2 linked regions of the Xenopus tropicalis genome follow. The protein of the gene in region 1 purifies or fractionates together with the protein of each later gene. This does not show direct contact. Links are inferred from orthologs where the notes say so. Each region holds a gene or a part of one and is shown on either strand. Other genes may lie near its edges. The genes, in order: fnip2 and flcn.

The links.
Region 2: the proteins of fnip2 (region 1) and flcn purify together in Homo sapiens (affinity purification with western blotting; 5 studies listed by BioGRID and IntAct, with this or other methods). This does not show direct contact. The link is inferred for Xenopus tropicalis from reciprocal best matches to the Homo sapiens genes FNIP2 and FLCN.

The regions. Positions count from the first base shown.
Region 1 is NC_030677.2:52,883,596-52,887,422, reverse strand, and holds part of fnip2 (folliculin-interacting protein 2), read left to right. Parts: intron 1-3,101; coding exon 3,102-3,228; intron 3,229-3,827.
Region 2 is NC_030685.2:15,782,524-15,786,776, forward strand, and holds the start of flcn (folliculin), read left to right. Parts: upstream 1-1,171; 5' UTR 1,172-1,185; intron 1,186-2,709; 5' UTR 2,710-2,746; coding exon 2,747-2,995; intron 2,996-3,302; coding exon 3,303-3,449; intron 3,450-4,227; coding exon 4,228-4,253. UniProt on the Homo sapiens protein: Multi-functional protein, involved in both the cellular response to amino acid availability and in the regulation of glycolysis.

The sequences.
Region 1 (3,827 bases):
AACCGGGTCACTGACCCCAGCATCCAAAAACCTATTGCTTTTTGAAGCTAGAATGTAATTGTTGTTGCTACTTTTTATTTCTTACCGTTCTATTTAGACCTCTCCTATTAATGTTCCAGTTCCCCATTCAAACAACTGCCTGGTTGCTAGGGTAAATTGAACCTTCACAACCCTTGCTGCTAAAACTCCAAACTGGAGAGTTGCTGAATATAAAGCTTAATCATTCAAAACCACAATAACTGTGTGAGTTATTTAATAAAGCTCACTTGAGATAAAATACCTCAACCAACAAGGTTTTTTTTTCCCCAAACCAAAAGGCGATCAGTTCTAAATATGCCCCTTTGCATGTTTGGTGCAGGTTATTCTAAGGCTGGGTATACACACATCGATATAATTGTACAAGTTTTGTATGATTTTTGGACCATGTGTAGGCTCCGAATCATCATCCCAGCAAATTTTGTACCATGGCGATCGTTTGTCGTAAGAAAACTAAAATCTGAACATATAGTCAGCTTTAGATGTCATGCTAACGTGTGGCAAAACAGGAGAACTCACCAGTTACTGCCAATAGATGTGCTATGACATGCGATCCAGCTCCGAATGGCATCACCAAGCCATCTGTTTGTCCTTTGCATGGAACACCATCAAGGCAGAGTTTGAAATATACGTCTTTTATTATTCACATTAAAAACATCAAAAACCTGGAGGTTTTACTGGCATCCCCCAATAACCACAAGCTTGATGCTACCAGTTACAGGCAATGTTCCCTCTAAGGTGCGCGCTCGTGCACACATACACAAGCTTTGAGACCAGTGCATACAAGTTGTGGTGCGCACAAAGAATTTTGTGTGAAAACACAGGATTTTGTATTTATTCTGACCTGCGCACACAGTTTTTAAAAATCAGCACACAAAATCTGTACAGGTATGGGACCTGTTATCCAGAATGCTTGGGACTTGGAGTTTTCCGGATAAGGGACCTTTCTGTAATTTGGGTCTCCATACCCTAAGTCTGCTAAAAATCATTTAAGCATTAAATAAACCCAAAAGATTTTTTTTACCTCTAATAAGGATTAATTATATCTTAGTTGTTATCAAGTACAAGGTACTGTTTTATTATTACAGAGAAAAGGGAAATCATTTTTAAAAATGTGAATTATTTGTTTATAATGGAGTTTATAGGAGATGGTCTTCCTGTAATTCAGTACTTTCTGGATAACTGGTTTCTGGATAAAGAATCCCATACCTGTACACAACTGTAAAGGAATTAAAGGAAATTCTACAGTGGATCGTAGAAAAGTTACATGTTAACCGTGCCACCACTTTTTATGGAATTGAATGTATATAGCCCTATTTTATTTAACATGTACTATGCTGTGCACACATCAGTCTAAAATACTAACTGGGGTAGGAAGAGTGAAATCGTGCCATGATACCTGTTAATAGGGCCAGCCATAGGCTTGTCAGGTAAGCAGATGTCCTGTCAGGCAGTCACAAGGGAATTGAGTGGCTAGCAGTGGCTTGGCAGCGGCTACCTCACACCACATGCTGTATATGCTGACAAGAGGTGAACAGGGCAGGGTGCAGAGAGCGCTGTATTGTGATACAAAGCACTGTACAAGTGCAGCCGTCAGTCTGCTCAGCAGCTTTTTTGATACGGGTGGGGAGGTAGATGTAGTCATCTGATAGTCTTGTGCTTTGGAATAAACTTCCCATGGAAATGAGAACATTTACTACTGCAGGGATAGTCTGGTGCAGTCTGTGGGGCCATGTCCAGAACTGGTGGGAAATGAGGCTGCTTCATACAAGGTAGTATTTGTTATTGTTTATTGTTATTTCATCATTATTTATAGGGCACAGCAAAGAATGACATTACTGCAGCATCCAAAATTATGGAAATAAAAAGAAAATAATAATAATAAAAAAATGTACACAGGTACTGCTAATGCCAGTAGCGTTTCCTAATACCTGTACTGTACTTGTCCAACTGAAAGAAATGACACTTGGTGACACTCCCTAGAGCTTGTGATCAAACAATTTTACAGTTTGGGGTACAGAAAGGTTTAGGTTTTTGGATATTCCATTCAGACCTCCCTGATTTATCCAAGTGATTTCACAACTGAGTTAATGTAGAGATGGCATTATTATGATTATAGAAATCAAGCAACTAAAATGTATTTGATTATTTTTTGTTTGGGGGGGGTCCTCTGCATATTCACAGCAGTAAAGCTGTTACTTCCCCTCGTACAGCTAGGTTTTAGTCGCAGTGGGAAACTATGTTTCTGCATGTGACAGCATTGCTAGGGATGTTTCACAATCCTTCTGAAATTGAAATATTTAATCATTTCTATACACCTTACTCACTCTGGTGTGATTCCCACTTTAACATGATTGCTGATATTAGTAGCTGCATTCTATAGCATTGGGTTTGTAGCTGTATTAAATATAGTCATATAGTTCTAAGCATTTTAAATTTAGCAATACCTACTGGCTTTTGTGTTTTACTTTCTATATGTTCTGTTTAAATTAAAAACCGTATAAGGAACATACTGTAAGACTGCTTGTTTGTGGTCATGTTTTTGCCATCATTTTGGATGCTATATATATGTATATAAGATATACATAATGAAACAAGTTATGGAACCTATCTTTTCCAAGTGTGTTCAGGTGAACACTAAATAAACGTCCTACCAATCCTTCTGGCCATGAATTTGCACCAGTATGGGGAATTCTATATCTCTGGGGGCTTTCTGTATCTGTTTTTATATATAATGCTGAAAACGGTCTAGTATTATCAGTGGATTTTGTTTTGTTTTTTTTTACTTTTTTGGCAGTGTGCTATGGTATTTGTTTAGAAGTAAAGACTTAATCATAAAATCTGTATGAGACATATGTAATAGGTTAGTGGTTCTTGTGACTGTGAATCTTATGTTAGAAATAGTCATGGGAGTCAGAAACCAGCTATGCTGCAGCCACAGACTTAAACATGGACATATGCTCTTTTCATCACTCAGCAGTTTTACAGAATCTCAACCTTGGTTCATATGTAGAGACGTGCCCAACACATTGTGACTATCGCTTTATCTATATTACTGTCCACAGCTGGCCTTGTACGGATTTCGACTTGAATTGCATCCGCCTGATTGTTTACCAAGACTGTGAGAGAAGAGGCAGGCAAGTTCTGTTTGATTCTAAAGCTGTCCGGGAAATCAGAAATGAAAGTACGCAGGTAAGACTTTCTACCCTACGATGTTAAATCCACAGTCGGACAGTATCAGGAGTGCCTTTGCCACAATTCTGTTTAGTTTTTTTCATGTTTATATCTTTATAGCTGCTGAAAAAGGAATATTGTTTTCCTCCATGTATGGATACAAATGTCTTGTCTTTCTGTAATTAATTAGGCTCATTTGCATCTGCAAGTGCAGTGAACAAAGTGTATTTTCAAGCACAATTGCCATGTTTTTTCCCCACAATGCACAGTTTTCACCCAGAGTCATTGTAATGATTGCAGGTGATTTTCTTCCCACAATTGTGCTATGTCTACCATGGTTGCATCTGATTTGCCAAAATGGACACAACTGTGCATACACTTTGTTGCAAATCCAACGCAGTTGTGCCAAATATTTTCTGTCTGGCCTAGCGTCATTTTGTGTACACCGCTTCTGGTTCTGTCTTGACACTCATGGCCCAATAGTTGTGAGGCAACCCCTCACGATTTACTTTATTGCTGGTGAGAAAGTATTTGGAGGAGAGTAGTTGCCCATTGTAGGGGAGATTTATCGCGGGTGACTAATCTTGAATGCCATGAGCCTAGGCCTAAAGCCGGAC
Region 2 (4,253 bases), on another chromosome or scaffold:
TGTTCTTTTTACCACCTTTCTTTGTGACCTATCCTTTATCCAGTCCTGTGTGCCTGTCACATGGCTAGGCTCTGTCTCTGATCACTGTCTCTCTCACAGCTCTTTGGGCTATGGCACATGGGGAGATTAGTCCTTGTCGCGGGCAACTAATCTCCCCGAAATGCCATCCCACCGGCTAGAATGTAAATCGCTGGTGGGATGGCATACGCGGCGCCAAAATCGCCATGCCATCCCACCGGCGATTTACATTCTAGCCGGTGGGATGGCATTTCAGGGAGATTAGTCGCCCGCGACAAGGAAGGTTAGTTGCGCGCCGACTAATCTCCCCGTGTGTCACAGCCCTTAAGGTGAAGACACACAGAGCTACTAGTAGCAGCTACTTGTTCTGGCTACTAAAACAGACAATTCTGATCATTTAATGATTTACTGATCATTTACACTCTACATGTGTTTTAGCAGAGGTAACTCTCAGTATTGTCTATGGCAGGGGATTTTCTGGAGTTTAGTAGCCCTTAGGATATAGTCCAGTGTATTTCACTCCTGTTCAGTGAAGGGGAATTTAGACACCAATAGCAACAATATAGAGGAACAGAACTGGTGACAGGGAATGAGGTGAAATAGGGTGATGCCCTGTGTAATAAGCCCCTCTTCATTTAGTACTTGCTGCTTATGCTCTAAGCAGATACAGAGGCATTTCAGGGCACAATCTAATGTTAACATTTATGTGAACTAGTTTACATTTAAAAAAGACATTTCCATGGGACAGAGAGGCTAAGCCCCTGGGAACTAGTGCCGGCCGGCAGATATACCTATGCTAACCCATATGTAAGTAAGATATAGGGTTGCTTGGCGCTGACAGAGCAGTGACCAACTGCAGCACATGACAAGCATCACATGAGGGATACTGTGCCAAGTCTCTTGCTGGCCGGAGCATACCATGGCATTGCTCCAGAGGGGTGCACACCTTCGTAACCAATCATTAATCACTGATTCCGTGCACGTCTCATAAAAAGCCCTTGCGTGTTCCTTCTCCTCAAGACGTAATTATTATTAATATATATTACAAAGACTCTGCCTCAGGATTATTCATTTCTGCTCCCCCCCCCACTCCCGCACATGCGATCTTCCAAAGAGAAGGAAGTCTCCGCCTGTCATGTGATGTAAACATGGCGACGTGACTGGCAGGTCTGTATATGAGGGTCCGGTCCGTAGGGGCTTTTCGGCTCGGGCAATGGCACAATATTATAAATTCCATTCTGATTCGTTTGTTGGGGGAATTGTACCTGCCGTTGGGGCTACACTGATACTAATACATGTACTGAGGGCATATATATAACGTTATCATTGCATCTAACCCACCATAGATTCTTATGGGTATTATTAGGGTTGCCAATCTTTTCTGAAAAAAAAACAGCCTTCCTATAAATAACATTGGCTTCAAGCCTCATATTTACTGGCCAGGTGGCAACCCTAGGTATTCTACATGAGTTTGGAGCTGGGTTTATCCCACTCTGTTTTCTGGGGGAATAATAAGTGAAATTGGTATAGCATTTATCCTGCCAAATGCACACTAACCCTAATATTCTACTGCCTTTTAATTACATTGGGGTGCTGGGAACTACTATGCCTTACAGCAGTGATCCCCAACCTTGAATTCCTGACTTGGGGGCAAGTTTTGGTTGAATAAAAACAAGATTTCCTACCAAATAAAGCCCCTGTAAGCTGATAGTGTGCATAGAGGCCCCTAATAGCCAATCTTAGCCCTTATTTGGCACCTCCATGAACTTTTATGGTGCTTGTGTTGCTCTCCAAGTCTTTTTACATTTGACTGGGGCTCACTAGTATAAAGGTTGGGGATCCCTGCCTTACAGTATATGATGTGGCTGAGGTGTCAGTACCCACTCCCTCTCACTATATGTAATGTGCCTGTGGTGTCAGCATACCTCACAGCTGTACTGCTTTCCACAAGACCAGTGGTGGGCAGTCTGCGGCTCTTTAGCCCCTTGAATTTGGCTCTTCCAGGTGCGGGCTTGCACGTACAGTGTGATCGCATTTCATTGCCCGTAGCAAAAATCAGCAGGAGGGGGTGGTCTTTGGGCTACAGGAGACACGGCACAGGCGTGGGCGGGATATGCAGTGCAGGGGAGGCTCACTCGTTTCATGCACGTGTGAGCCAGTGCAAAAAATTTGGCTCTCTAAACACAGCCACCTACACTGTGACAACTACAATGCCTAGCAATAGTACCCTTGTCTATATTGACCTAAACCTGACTCGACACCATTCCAATGTCAATATGTTAAACACTGTTTTGTATTTTTGTTTTGTAATGTTGTAAAACCAATAAAAATTTACCTGTATTGCCAGTTGGCCAGCCTTGTGAGATGAGTCTGTGACATTACCCCCCACATTATATAGAGCACAGCCCCCTGGAGATGAGAGGACAGGGAGCACTGTTGGGGTGTGGGTTGCCACTGCTTTTGCCATGAAATGTTTGGGGAGCCAAAACTGTGTCTATGGTGAAATGCTGGGAAGCCACTACAGTGTCTGCCATGAAGTGTTTGGGGATCCACCACTGTGTCTGTGTTGAAATGTCCCTATAAAGAACCAATAGCAGCCCGATTAAAAGTTAGCTTTGTCAACCAATTGTGTGATTACTCTTTACTGCTAACTTTCTTAACTATACATCCTCATCTTTTTGTTTTAAATAGAACTTGTATTTCTGCTGAAGAATCTCCAGGTATTACCATGAACGCCATTGTGGCACTCTGCCATTTCTGTGAGCTCCATGGACCCCGCACTTTATTCTGCACAGAGGCTCTTCATTCACCGCACCCCCAAGGGGCGAGTTGTGGTGACAGCATTGGGCAGGGAGAGCAAGCAGAAGATGAGGAGATGGGAATTCAGATGAGCAGCAGGATCCGATGTCACAGCCCTGCAGAGGGGGCAAGTGCAGACTCCAACAGCCCCAGGCCCAAAAAGTCGGATATGTGTGAGGTAAGAGCAATTCAGCGTTTATATGTGTTGTTATGTTTGTTTGAGAGCAGAATCCAAAAGAAAACAGGTATTAGACCCCGTACCTGGAAACCTAAAGATCTAAGTGTTCCTGGAATTTGGAGCACATAGCTCTGCCCATTTGAATGGGAGAGGTCTCAGTTTTGAAAGTTAAATCCTATCTGCTTCTTCCTGTTCCCTTTCATTCCAGATCAGAAGGATGGCAGCCATTAATCCTCTACTGAGAGTGACCAACAGCAGGCTGAACTCCTGTTCAGTTAGTTAATATGACTCCTTTCTCTTTGCACAGGGTTGCAGGTCCTTAGCTGCGGGGCATCCTGGGTACATCAGCCATGATAAAGAGACTTCCATTAAATATGTCAGCCACCAACACCCCAACCACCCACAGCTGTTCAGCATTGTGCGCCAGGCCTGTGTGCGCAGCCTGAGTTGTGAGGTAAGTTCAGTGGGGAACAGTATTTACACTGGTTACCACTATCAGCGCAGATAATTACCAATAACCGCATATAATCATCCGTGCATTCTAGTCCCCTAGCGCTCCAACGATACACCAGAAAAACACCACAGTGTCGGTGGGCCCAACAGGTCCAGGGCCCACTGGGGGTTTCTCCCAGTGCTCTAATGGGCCAGCCCGACCACGAGAAAGCTGCCCATGTTTTTCTAGCCTGTGGTTAATGGCAGATATGGTTATATTAAACCAATGCCATCAAGAGTGTATTGAGCGATTGATGTATTGCCTTGGATGCACCACCATATCCAACCCTTTTAATCACCATTCATATGAATCATGGTAATCAAAAAGGCCCATGTGCCATAAGCCATAGTTATACACCACATATGGAGGTACCATTAACCTTAGTTATACATAAGCCACAGTTATACACCACATATGGAGGTACCATTAACCTTGGTTATACATAAGCCACAGTTATACACCACATATGGAGGTACCATTAACCTTGGTTATACATAAGCCACAGTTCTACACCACATATGGAGGTACCATTTACCTTAGTTATACCTAAGCCACAGTTATACACCACATATGGAGGTACCATTAACCTTAGTTATACATAAGCCACAGTTATACACCACATATGGAGGTACCATTAACCTTGATTATACATAAGCCACAGTTCTACACCACATACGGAGGTACCATTAACCTTAGTTATACCTAAGCCACAGTTCTACACCACTTTCTGTCAACACAGGTATGTCCTGGTAGAGAAGGTCCCAT